Pelodiscus sinensis: one gene and its partners. The protein of the gene in region 1 purifies or fractionates together with the protein of each later gene. This does not show direct contact. Links are inferred from orthologs where the notes say so. Each region holds a gene or a part of one and is shown in the gene's direction. Other genes may lie near its edges. The genes, in order: NRP1, UBR2 and PLXNA1.

Evidence for each region.
Region 2: the proteins of NRP1 (region 1) and UBR2 purify together in Homo sapiens (affinity purification with mass spectrometry; 3 studies listed by BioGRID and IntAct, counting the BioPlex papers as one, with this or other methods). This does not show direct contact. The link is inferred for Pelodiscus sinensis from reciprocal best matches to the Homo sapiens genes NRP1 and UBR2.
Region 3: the proteins of NRP1 (region 1) and PLXNA1 purify together in Homo sapiens (affinity purification with western blotting; 4 studies listed by BioGRID). This does not show direct contact. The link is inferred for Pelodiscus sinensis from reciprocal best matches to the Homo sapiens genes NRP1 and PLXNA1.

Annotation. Positions count from the first base shown.
Region 1 is NC_134712.1:230,632,058-230,635,804, reverse strand, and holds the start of NRP1 (neuropilin-1), read left to right. Parts: upstream 1-1,106; 5' UTR 1,107-1,873; coding exon 1,874-1,940; intron 1,941-3,747. UniProt on the Homo sapiens protein: Cell-surface receptor involved in the development of the cardiovascular system, in angiogenesis, in the formation of certain neuronal circuits and in organogenesis outside the nervous system. Mediates the chemorepulsant activity of semaphorins.
Region 2 is NC_134713.1:171,037,923-171,041,669, reverse strand, and holds the start of UBR2 (E3 ubiquitin-protein ligase UBR2), read left to right. Parts: upstream 1-1,196; 5' UTR 1,197-1,299; coding exon 1,300-1,377; intron 1,378-3,747. UniProt on the Homo sapiens protein: E3 ubiquitin-protein ligase which is a component of the N-end rule pathway.
Region 3 is NC_134721.1:24,047,905-24,051,651, reverse strand, and holds the start of PLXNA1 (plexin-A1), read left to right. Parts: upstream 1-1,597; 5' UTR 1,598-1,726; intron 1,727-3,747. UniProt on the Homo sapiens protein: Coreceptor for SEMA3A, SEMA3C, SEMA3F and SEMA6D. Necessary for signaling by class 3 semaphorins and subsequent remodeling of the cytoskeleton. Plays a role in axon guidance, invasive growth and cell migration.

The DNA of each region.
Region 1 (3,747 bases):
GCCTGATACCCCGGCCTGCCGCTCCCGCCCGGCCAGCCCCCCTGGGAGCCTGATGCCCCAAGTGCTCTCCGTGTAACTGCGCCTTTAGTCGCGCAGTGACACACAGTGGGGCGTGTGTATGGACAGACGGGGCTGTGGGACTAGGGGTGGGATGGGCACTGGCCACATAGTAGCAGACAGCGGGGATGCCAGACTGTGGATAGCGAGCACAACTGGACACTCAGGGCGAGAGAGGGGAGACCTACTGCGGGGTACACGGCGGTGCTGGAGCCCGAGCGCCCTGTGCGGTGCATGGCCAGGGGTGGGCAGCGCTGAGCGCACTGCACAAAGCAGGATGGGGGCAGCGATGGTGGATGCGCTGGAAGGTGCAGGACGGACGGTGGCAGTGAACAGCAGGGATGGTGGGCACGCCACATAACGCAGGCCGGGGTCCGTGCTGGTGAATGCGCAGGGTGGTGTGTGGTGGGGGGCGGATGGTGGTGACCCAGCGCAGCGGGGCGGGAGTCAGAAAGGCTGGGTACACTGGGCTGCACAAAGCGGGCAGCGAGCCCTGGAGAGTGACCATAAGGGACAATGAGCCCGGTGGGAAGAAGAGCCTGACTGTGGAGAGGCTAGAGCCAAGGAGGCGGCGGGAAAGGGAGAGGAGGGACGGCGGCTCACGGACACGCTGGGCGCTGAGCCATGCCGGGGGGTGAGCACAGGGCGCGCCGCGTCGTGGATGGGAGGTGACGGGACGAGGTGATGGGCAGTGCCCAGCGGGCACTATGCAAGCAGCAGGGGCTGCGCTGGAATCTGTTGCTTAATGACCGCGCCGTGGCCTCCGGCTCTGTCCCGGTGCAGCTGGATACCGCACGCTTTGTCAGCTCCACTTGGCTTTACCTGGCGCCCAGACCTGCTGTCTTCAAAGGGAAAGGGGCGGGCCTCTCTCCCCCCCCCCCCCCCCCGCCGCCTCTCGCCGTGGCTTCCAGCCCCCTCTGAAGTTCAGACCCCAGCGTGTCCTGTTTGTTTGTTGGTCCTTCCTTTCTGCCGATGTCTTGGGGGGCTGAGGAGGAGGAGGAGGAGGAGGAAGAGGGCGGGGAGGGGGAGGGGACTGGGGCTGTGGAGACGGCGGCTCCTCTTCCTCTCTTATTGCCACTGAGTTGCGCTTCTCCTCAGGCTGCAGGGAGGAGCCGCCCGGCGCGAGAAGCAGCCCGGCGCTTCACACTTCCCTGCGATCCCAGTCCTCCGCCTGGATGCCAGTCAGAGCCGCTAACCCGCCAGGCAGCAACGTCCCATTTGCAGGTGCCCGGCCGTAGCCAGCCGTGGTGCCCTGCACTCTCCCCCTACACAGCAGGTCAGTCTTAGGCACGAACACTGGCGGCTGCTGGGGGCCCCGTACAAAGGGGACAGCGCGGGGGCAAACTTGTTTGTGTGGCTGAGTTGCAGGCGAGCTGCTCTGGAGAAGAGAGGGAGGCAGTTTGCAAAACTCCGGTCTCTCCCCGCTCATCGTCTCTCTCTCCTCTCTGCAGATCCCCCTCCTCCCGGACCCCTCCCGAGGAGAAATCTTCCGGGAGCTCCAGAAGCCTCCAGGATTTGTTGCTGTTGTTGTCAGTTGGCTTTCTAGACTCTTTGGAAATGGCAGGGGCAGCGACGCCTGGGAAAGGAGCGACTGTGGGAAAAGGGAGAGGAAACCAGAGCTAAATGACAGGATGCAGGCGACTTGAGACACATACACAAAAAGAAGCGTCTCTGCCACCCGGGACTCAGCTGCTGCTGCGGACCGAGCCTTCTGCTCCCCTCTCCTGCCGGAGGATTTAAGAGCTGAGAGGAGTTGTGTGCTGTGAGGAGTGAGGAGTTTTTTCCCCTCTCTCTCCTTCTACAATCAGAAAGGAAGATGGATTGGGGACTTCTTTTGCAATATGCAGCCCTCACCTTCACCCTAGCCAGGGCTTTAAGGAGCGGTAAGTGACAGTGAAGACAACCGATTTCAAGTTATTAACTAATTCAGAGAATATTTCCAGAGTTAGGGCCCAGTGGTGAGTTCTAATAAACAATGAGATCTGTTTTGCGCTGGAAGGAAGATCAACCTGATATTAGAATAAGAGGAACTTTTCAGTACAAATGATTTGCACCCTCCTGTCACATAATCATCACACGCCCTTTAAACTTTATTTTCAGCCCCTTTTGGTTGTTATCTAAAGCGGGACTGCTCGCTTTCACAAGTTTAGAGCAGCCAATTATCTTAATAATGTTTCCTCCCATAGGCAATTAAATAAGACTTAAAATCTGCAAGATAACAAGCACCTTAAAGGAAGGCTTTTGTGCCGGGGATGGGGGGAGTTCAGACTATCATCTTTTATAGTTGTAGATGCCTAGCAGGTAGTCTTGTCAAATAAGACCTAACCTATTTATTGCAATAGTCTGGAGTTCTCATGGAACTTGAATAGTGTCTATAGAAGAATGTGATAGGCTTGCAAGGGTTTAGGATTCAAGTGTAATAGAGAAATCTCATAACAATGACTTTAATATCTAGTTTACTTTCAGGCAACACTTGAAAACATAGCTAATTAAAAAGAAGGTGCTCTTCTTGAACAATGCCTTGGCACACTATTTCCCTGAATTGTGTACTTTTTAAGATGGACTAATTGTAGTATTGTTTGACATTTAACTAAGAGATATGAGCAAACTCCTGCAAATTTTCCTTTCCCAGCAAATCCTGAGCAATTATTATTAACTAATTATCAAATATTTACTTTTGCCTGACTAGGCTTTCAATCAAAGTAATTAAAAAAAGAGAGCATCCTCCACTTGCAGTGGTATATTGTTTTAATATACAAGTGGTGTCTTGGAGTGGAGAATGTAAATCACATTTTATGATGGAAATTAATCTCTTTGCAATAAATTTTGAGGAGGATGTCTAATTTAATAAGCAATGGATTCCTTCTTCAGTGATCTGACACAGAAGCAAACACATCCAAAAAAGAAAACATGTGCCAGTCTTAAGCAGTGAATCTTTAGTGAGATCCAGCCTGGTCTAACCCTTGTAAGCTGTAGGTAAGAAGGTGGGGAGTAACATTAACCTCCTCTTTCTGTCTGAAGCCATTATTTATAAATGTGAAATGACTGCTCCATATTTCTGCATCACTTTGGAGCTGTGGCAGAAGTGGTAAAATAACAGATATTAAACTGAAGCTTATAGGACTAAATGAAAAGGAGTGTGTTATAGGGGTGATATTGCAACATTACTGGTAATCGTCTTCCTTTAAAAACAGAGCAGAAATAGGGAGGGCTGTTGTTGAAGAAATTGTCTGAGAAGCAGGGCTGCTTGTGTAGGTATAGACATAATAGCCCTCCTGGAGTCACCAAGGCCATTAACCTCCTCTGTGACTTACCAGACCTGTTAATGCCAATGTCCACCTCCTTCCAATGCTAGTGTCTGCTAAATTAATTCATTAACCTTATTTAGAACTAATGGTCCAAAGTCATCAGAAACTGCTCTTCTTAATTAAGTGTTGAAGAGATTGTACAGAGCCAGGGAGTCTAGCAGTCCGCATTATCTTATTATACAGTCACTTTCCCAGAAGTCACAGATTAAAGAGTACTGGTGGTAGTGAGTCCAGCCTCAATGTCTTCTGAAGTGACTCTGTCAAGTGACTAGAAGCAGCACTGTTTTATTTCACTCACTGAACAGACGCCAGATTCTGCCATGTTGTTTGCACAGAGCTGTAGTGGACTTAATAAGACAGGATCACTTCCCAAGTCTGCTAC
Region 2 (3,747 bases), on another chromosome or scaffold:
TGCCAGAGGAGGCTGTGAAGGCAAAGACTTTAATAGGGTTAAAAATGAATTAGATAAGTTGATGGAGGAAGCCAGGAATGGAGTTCTTAATCTCTGTTTTCCACAAGCTGAAAATAGGTAATGGGGATAGCTCACTTGATTATTTGTTCTGTTCATTCTCTCTGGGTACCTGGGGCTACTGTCAGAAGACAGGATATTATACTGGATGGACCTTTGGTGTTACCCAATGTGGCTGTTCTTATATTCTTAGCTCTTCAGGAGCCACAGAATTACTTGCACAATAGTGTAACTGTAGCACTGCCAACCTTTGCACTATTTGTATTTGTCTTAAAGATCCAACTTCTGGATTTATGCAATTAAAAATAGAAAAAAGTAAATTTCTAGATCTCTTAGTGGTGGAGAAAATTCTTGGGAACATGACCCACATGCACACTAAAGCCTTTCAGAGTTGGGTGGTTGGAAAGTGGCAGTTGCTGACTGACAACTCAACTGTGCAGACAGCAGCGCAGAGGTAAGTGGAGCAATACCATACCATGCCATGCCATGCCATGCCATTCTTACTTCTAAGCTGCTGCTGGCAGTAGCTTTGCCTTCAGAGCTTGATTTCTGGCCAGCAGCCTCCACTCTCCAGCCTCTGAAGGCAATGCTGCTGCTAGCAGCTGTGCAGAAGTAGGGGTAGCAGTACTGCAACTACCTACAACTTGCCATCCCCTCCCAAACTCTTTCCTGGGTCAGAAGAACCCCTACAAGTACAACACTGTAAAATTTCAGATTTAAATATCTGAAATCATGAAATTTACCATATATAAAATCTTCAGAAATATACCGAAATAGAATGAGACGCTGATTTTGTAGGACCTTGGCAACGACCATAAGGAGGTGGGGAAGCTGCCATAGGTGGTGCATTGCTTAGGACAAGCAGCAGCAAACCTGTAGGCCAATATGAGAGGCACTGGTCCCCAGCGCAGTGGTCAGGGTCTCAAAGCCTGGGCAGCACCGGGAATGGGGAGGTGGGGGGGGGGAGGCAGAGGGGCCATGACGTCAGTCAACCAGCCAAGCGAAGGGACCTCTGTAAGGAAGGACAGAGGGCCAGCTCCAGCGCTAGGACTACATCCCCCACAATGCACCGCCAGCTCACGATGGCGTCTCCGCGGCGGAAGGGAGAGGGCAGTTATACCCCGCCCGGCGGCGAGGAACGGGGAGGGGCAGAAGCGGAAGTGGGTTCCCCCCGCGGGGAGGCCGGCTGGGTCCGGTTCCGGGTGTCACCTACTTGGTGGTGCCGCTGGAGGGGGGAGGAAGATGGCGTCGGACTTGGAGACGGAGGTTCAGGCCATTGACAGGAGCTTGCTGGAATGTTCCGCCGAGGAGGCTGCCGTGGTGAGGCTCGTCCCCCGGGGGCCGTTAGGGGAGCGGGCCTGCGGGCGGGCTGGGTGTGTGGGCAGGGGGGTCCGTAGGGCCAGGCCCGGCAGTGGGGGGAGGCGATCTCTCGCGCTGCCTTAGGGGCGGGCGGAGGTGGCAGGGAGGTAAATATGTTTGATGGCGAGGGGCGATTGTGGCGGGGCTGTTTCAAGGGGCCCCGTGAACTAGAGACTCTCTCGTGTTAACTTGCTGCCGTGTCAAGCCCGCTGAGGTGTGACAGGACGTGGAAGCGAAGAGCAAAGTCAGCTCTCCCGTCTGCTTGGCTTGTGCCAAGCCTTACTCGAGTCCCACTTCTACGGCTTCCTCTCCCAGGCTGGTCACTTGCCCGGCAGTCTCTGATTTCAACAGGTTGTATTTCGGGTTGCTGGCTCCTCTTCCCTTCGCAGTTTTTAAGTTTTGTTCTTAAGATTGCTTGGGAGAAGGTTTTAAAAACAGTGTTTCCTTCTACCCGCCTCAGCTGCTTAGGCCCCAAGCTTGGAAAGAGCTTCATGAGTACAGATCCATGCACAGCAACCTATTGATTTCAGTGGGATTGTGTGAGAGAGCAGTGGTCTGCTCCCATACACCTATTTGCAGGGTTGTGGATTTCCTAAGTTTTTTTTTCCCTTTCTCCTCTCTCTGACAAGCAGCTGTTTTTCTGTGCCAACTGTATTTGGGGTTACACTGTACCTTAAAATTCAGTCACAAGATAACTGACCTCTTATGCTCATGGAGAGTGGAGAAAGAGAAGCATTCCCTTTTTGGGAACATTTAAGAGTAGTGTTCAATGGAACTAAGTACTTTTGTATGAGTGTTCTATGGTTCATATATGTAATTCAGTGGGCTCTCTTGGGTGTAACTGTTCATAGCATCAGAGCTTTATTTGTAAATGTCAATAACAGATTTATAATTACCTTATCAGAAAAAAAATTCCATGATTCAAATTATCATGTTTTTATGCTTTTAATATTTAAGTTATCTCTTTTAATGGACACTTGTGGTGGCAAATGTGAAATTATTTCAATGATAAATTTGATTTATTCCCTTATTTCGTCACATTTTATTCAGGTGCTGTGTTATTAGATGTAGGGAAATAAAAACACTTTTCACACAGTGGATATTTAAAATACTTACATAATCATGACATGGTAATTGTTACAGGTTCTTCAAACATTTATAAGAACTAGAGTGTATAAGGTGGCAAAGGGGAGCTGTTACTGGAGACTAAGTAGGGCCCTTTGGGGAAAGAAGCAGCAACAGACCATGAATTGTATAGTTTCTAATAAGATCCTCTCATCCTGTGATAAAATGTAATTTGGTCCCTTTTTCGGCCACACGTCATTTTACGTATCAATATTTACATGCAGTGATGTCTTTCAAATATGCAATAAATATGTTAGAGACTAAATTATACACTTTGTGGTAATTTTTTTTTTTTTGCCATTTAATTCTTCTGAAGTGATCAATTTTCTGAAATATCCTTTTGATTTTGTTTTACATTAAAGTACATAAATACACATGCTTTGCATTGTTAATTAGACTTTTTGCAAGGTCTTTGAGTCAGAAATACTTTTGAACTGGAACCAGCTCTGAGCCTTGCCTACTGATCTCTGGTTGCCAGACTTGCATGCTTGTAAAGTGAACCTTGCCATATTTAGTATTTTCACTGTCCAGTACTGATTTCTGTCATGTTTTTCCTGTTACTCATTTTGTCAGTCATTTTTTTGTGACTGTTCAGGAAAAAAAGCTCATTTGATTGTGCTCTGGAATGTAGTACTTTTTCCTCGTACAGGTTGAACCTCTCTAGTCTGGCATCCTTGGGACCTGACCAGTGCTGAACCAGAGAATTTGCTGAACCACACAGGAGGTCAATATTATCTATCAGCATCACAAATACTCCTACTGCTTACTGGGCTCTTAGAAGACATTTAAGGGTAAATTAGAGCTAAATAATAGCACAGAACACTGAGAGCCAGGACTGGTAGCTGTAAATAAACATTATGGGATCGTGGGACTCTTGGCCACACCCATAATAACTGCACATCTGGCTAACTAAAATCATGCCAGACCACAGATGTTGCTGGACCAAAGAGTGCCAGCCTAGAGTGGTTTAGCCTGTAATAGTCCATACTACTTTGCTTCTGATTCCTATTTAGGCAGGCCAGGACTTGTGAATCGAATGTTTAAAAACCCCAGTGAAGTCATGTGGATTCTTTAGACACAGGTTGTAGCTGTGGTGGGTTCGGGGGGGACAGAGAGGACAATAGGCAGCTTGTGGCACTGAAGCATAACATTTTAATGTGTACTTATTAGGGATGTTACATGCATTTAATCAACTAATTGACTAGT
Region 3 (3,747 bases), on another chromosome or scaffold:
TGTGTTGGTGAAGTGGCGACTTAAGGGAGAAAAATGGCTTTCCTAACCAACATGTTGTGAACCTGGAGCAGGGCTGGCCTGATGCTGAATGGGAGCTGCCACAGTCTTCTGAGTTCAGCCACCTGTGCATGTCTCCGTGTGCACGCGTGGTAGGGTGGCTGTACAGATTTTGTCTCGTTGAATGGGCTATTGCTGTATGGGTTGGTTTGTAGACGTAGGGGTATGTGTGTTACGGTGCAGCTCTGCAGAACGGTGCATGTAGCAATGAGTCTTTTTGCAGGAATGTTTCTTTGGGGCGTGAGAGTTTATGGATCCCTGTGCAAGAAGGTAGGGTTGCGTGAGTGTGTCTGTGCACAGGAGGGTGATTCTATAGGCGAGTCTCCCTGTGCCACGTGGGGTGAAGTGAAGGGATATATCCAGGAAAAAAACCTATCCCGCCATTTGACCAGCAGATGGCAGTGGTACCCCCAGAGATGTGCTGCGCTTCATCTCCCATAGCTCACTCAGCCAGCTAATACTGTGGTTCCCCAGGTTTGGTTTTTTCTCCCCACCTCCCTTAATCCAGTTTTTCGGTGCCCTGTTGCATTCCCTGTCCCCAGAACAGTGGTCTGCAGATAGATAGGCTCAGCCTCTTGGGGCTGCACTGTAATCATCAGGTCACAGATGTGATGTGTCCTTCCCCTCCAATTTTGCCACGGAGTGTGGCCACCAGCCCCTGAAGCTGCTCTCCACCTGGGCTCCTAGGTGATGCTGGCCAGGCTGAGTGACCCTCCAGGGGCCCTTTGGCCTGTGCCTCTCCCAGCTGGCTCCGCAATGCACTTGCTATCTGAAAGGTATCTGTTAGCTACTCTGCAAAGGGTATTGCAGCAGTCAGGAAAGTGCGGCTGAAGAGTACAGGGAAGGATTGGATCTTCGATGCTTTTCATGCCCACCACTGAGCTGTTTGTCCCCCACCCCCACCCCCCGTGCTCTGGCCAGCCTGAGAAGACTGGGGATGATTCCCCCCTTCCTCACCCAGGAGCGAGGCTGGGGGTGGGGCTGGGCTGTGGGGAGGCGGGGGACTGTTGGGCCATGGGGGGACAGGGCAGCCACCAGCCTCTCAGAGCTTGCACACACACCCCAGAAATTCTTGGGTACAGGCTTGGGGAGAGGCAACTCTTACAGGTGAGAGGGGAGGCCAGGGGAGTCCATATTGTCACAGAACCACATACATTAGAGACAGAAAAGTCCTATGATGTCATCTTGTGTCATTTACACACACACACGCACACGCGTGTACACATGCAGGAATGTTCACCGCACCTCCAGAATGGTGAGCTCTTTCCTTACTGCAGAGATTTCCAGAGAGTGTCCTTGGGGTGAGGAGTTTAATGATGAGCACATCCGCCCTCTGGGGACTGGCCAGAGTCCCCCCCATCTCTTTTCATGCAGGCCACCGAATGAGCCCCTCAGGTAATGTGTGAGTAACTGCAGTGCCCTGTCCCTCTTGGAGGCCTGACCAGGGCTTTGGCACAGCCGGAGAAGAGGCTGCCCTGACTAATCCCGCCTAGGTTTGATCTGACCCCTCTGCAGGCCTGGACTGGACTTTGGAAGCTCAGTGAGGGTGTGCATGCCAGTGCTATGCGGATGTGATCAATAAAGCACCCTGATCAGCGCAGGGTGCAACAGTGGTGACTGAAATGGTGTTGGGCCTGGCTTGTCCCTGGACACACCGGCTGTGTCGGAGGTAGGCGTTATTACTGTTGTGATTATGACTTGCAGCTGACCTGTGCACTGGTTCAGCTGTGCCATTGCTAACAAGGGGTTCTCGCTGTGCACCTGAGCCTTGATCCACAGGGCTCCCCACACATAGCAGTCCCAACCCTGAGCCCTCACTGATTTGCTGCTATTGGAACCAGTACGCCAGAGGTGAGAACTTGGCCTCACTTGCCCAGTCCCCTGGGCATCCCCTGCTTCTGACATGTGCCTTTCCATTGTCACCTGCCCATTGTGTGGGGCGGTAGGCGGAGAGCTAATTACTAAAGCTGCAAAGCCCTGAGAATGGTTTTTTCTGCCTGCACAAAGTACTGTATAAATCAAGACGGCTTGGACGGAGCTGAAATGAAATATTCCTTGTTTCCTTGCCCAAATCCGCTGTTTCAGTCTGGTTCCAAGGCGCTGGCCCATATTGCACATTTGAATTTAAAAGCAGGCTTGCGCTGAGGCTTTTTTTAAAAAAAAAATAGATTAAAAAATAAAGTTCCTCCTGCTTTGGTGTTGTGCTGCCTTCCCAAGTAGCTGCTAATTACAAGGGTAACCCTTTGTAGGCTCTGCTCTGTAAAAGAAGGCACTGGGGGTTGGTGCACAGTGGGGCAGTAGAAAGGCCAGAGACAAAGGCTTGTGGAGTGGTTAGAGTAGGGAGCATCACATTAAGGAATCCTGGCTTCTGGTTTGGGCTTTGGGAGGGAAGAATCATCTAGGTAGGGCTGTGGATTCGGAGTGGAGCCTTCTGGGTTCTAGTCTGAGCTAGGGATGAGAATGGTTAATGGATTAACTAGTAAGCCTCACCTTAATGGGTGCTGCACACTGGTTCTGGTTAACCAGTAGGGGCTGGAGCAGCTCGCTGTCCACTGAGAGCGGGGAACTGCACCAGCCTCGGGGCCCACTGCAGGCAGGGGTTGTTCTGACCGGTTGGCTGGAACAGCCCCTGTCCATGGCAGGGTGGCTGCTCTACCCCCGTGAGGCTGGAGCAACCCATTCCCCCTAGCCTCCCTTTAATCCGTTAACCGTGTTTAACCGGTTAACCCAGAGGTGGCCAACCCGCGGCTCACGAGTCGCATGAAAAAAAAATGGCGGCTCCTGACAGAACCCGGATGGAACCCGGAACCGCTCAGGTCAGCTGCTCACGGCCCCCAGCGTACTGTGTCATATCCTGCATGTGCAGGCCAGGTTGCAGACCATGTCCCAGTCTGTATGTGCTAGTAGCCGGCTGCTGAGCGCAGGCAGTGGCAGTGACGAGGGCTTCAGGGGTGGCGGTGGCGCCAGTGGCAACTCTGGGACCTGGGCATAAGGTTAGTGGTAGAGGAGGATTGGGTTAGAGTGGGGAGGGGAGGTGTCTGGCTCTGGGGAACGGAAGGGAGGGGGATTGGGTTGGCGGGGGTGTGCATGGTGTGCCAGCCGCTCAGCGCACATGCCCCAGCGCCTGGAGGGAGACACGTGGCTGTAGCGGTGGCTCCAGGACCCCAGAATTAAGTTAAAGTGGGGAGGAGGGGGATTGGGTTAGAGCAGGGAGGTTCCTGGGGGAGGGGAGGGGAAGAGCAGCCAGTGTGCTTCCTGAGAACCAGGATCCCCAGGTACTGGCCCTAGCTGTCTCTGTCCCGTCCCCCTGGCCAAACCCCAGCAACCTGCCCCCACCAGCACAGTTGGGCCACATTAGTGAGGCTTGGGGGGGGGGGGAGGGAGGTTGGAGCAGTTGTTTTTTTTTGCATCTCACTTGTGTGGCCCCGACTGACTTTTCTGTGGGTCAGTGACCCCTGACTCAAAACAGGTTCCCTGCCCCTCTCATAAATAAAGACAACGCTGAAACATTTTGTGTTTGACATATTTTATTTAAAAATGAAGCCTGGCCAACAAGCCCCAATTTGGGGCCAAGCCCCCATCTGTCCGCAGCATCATAACACTCCTGTACCTCCGCAGACTCCAAACCTGAGTCTATCATACACTGGAACCCCCTGTCCTGAGCGCCTCTCATCCCCAAACTCCTGCACC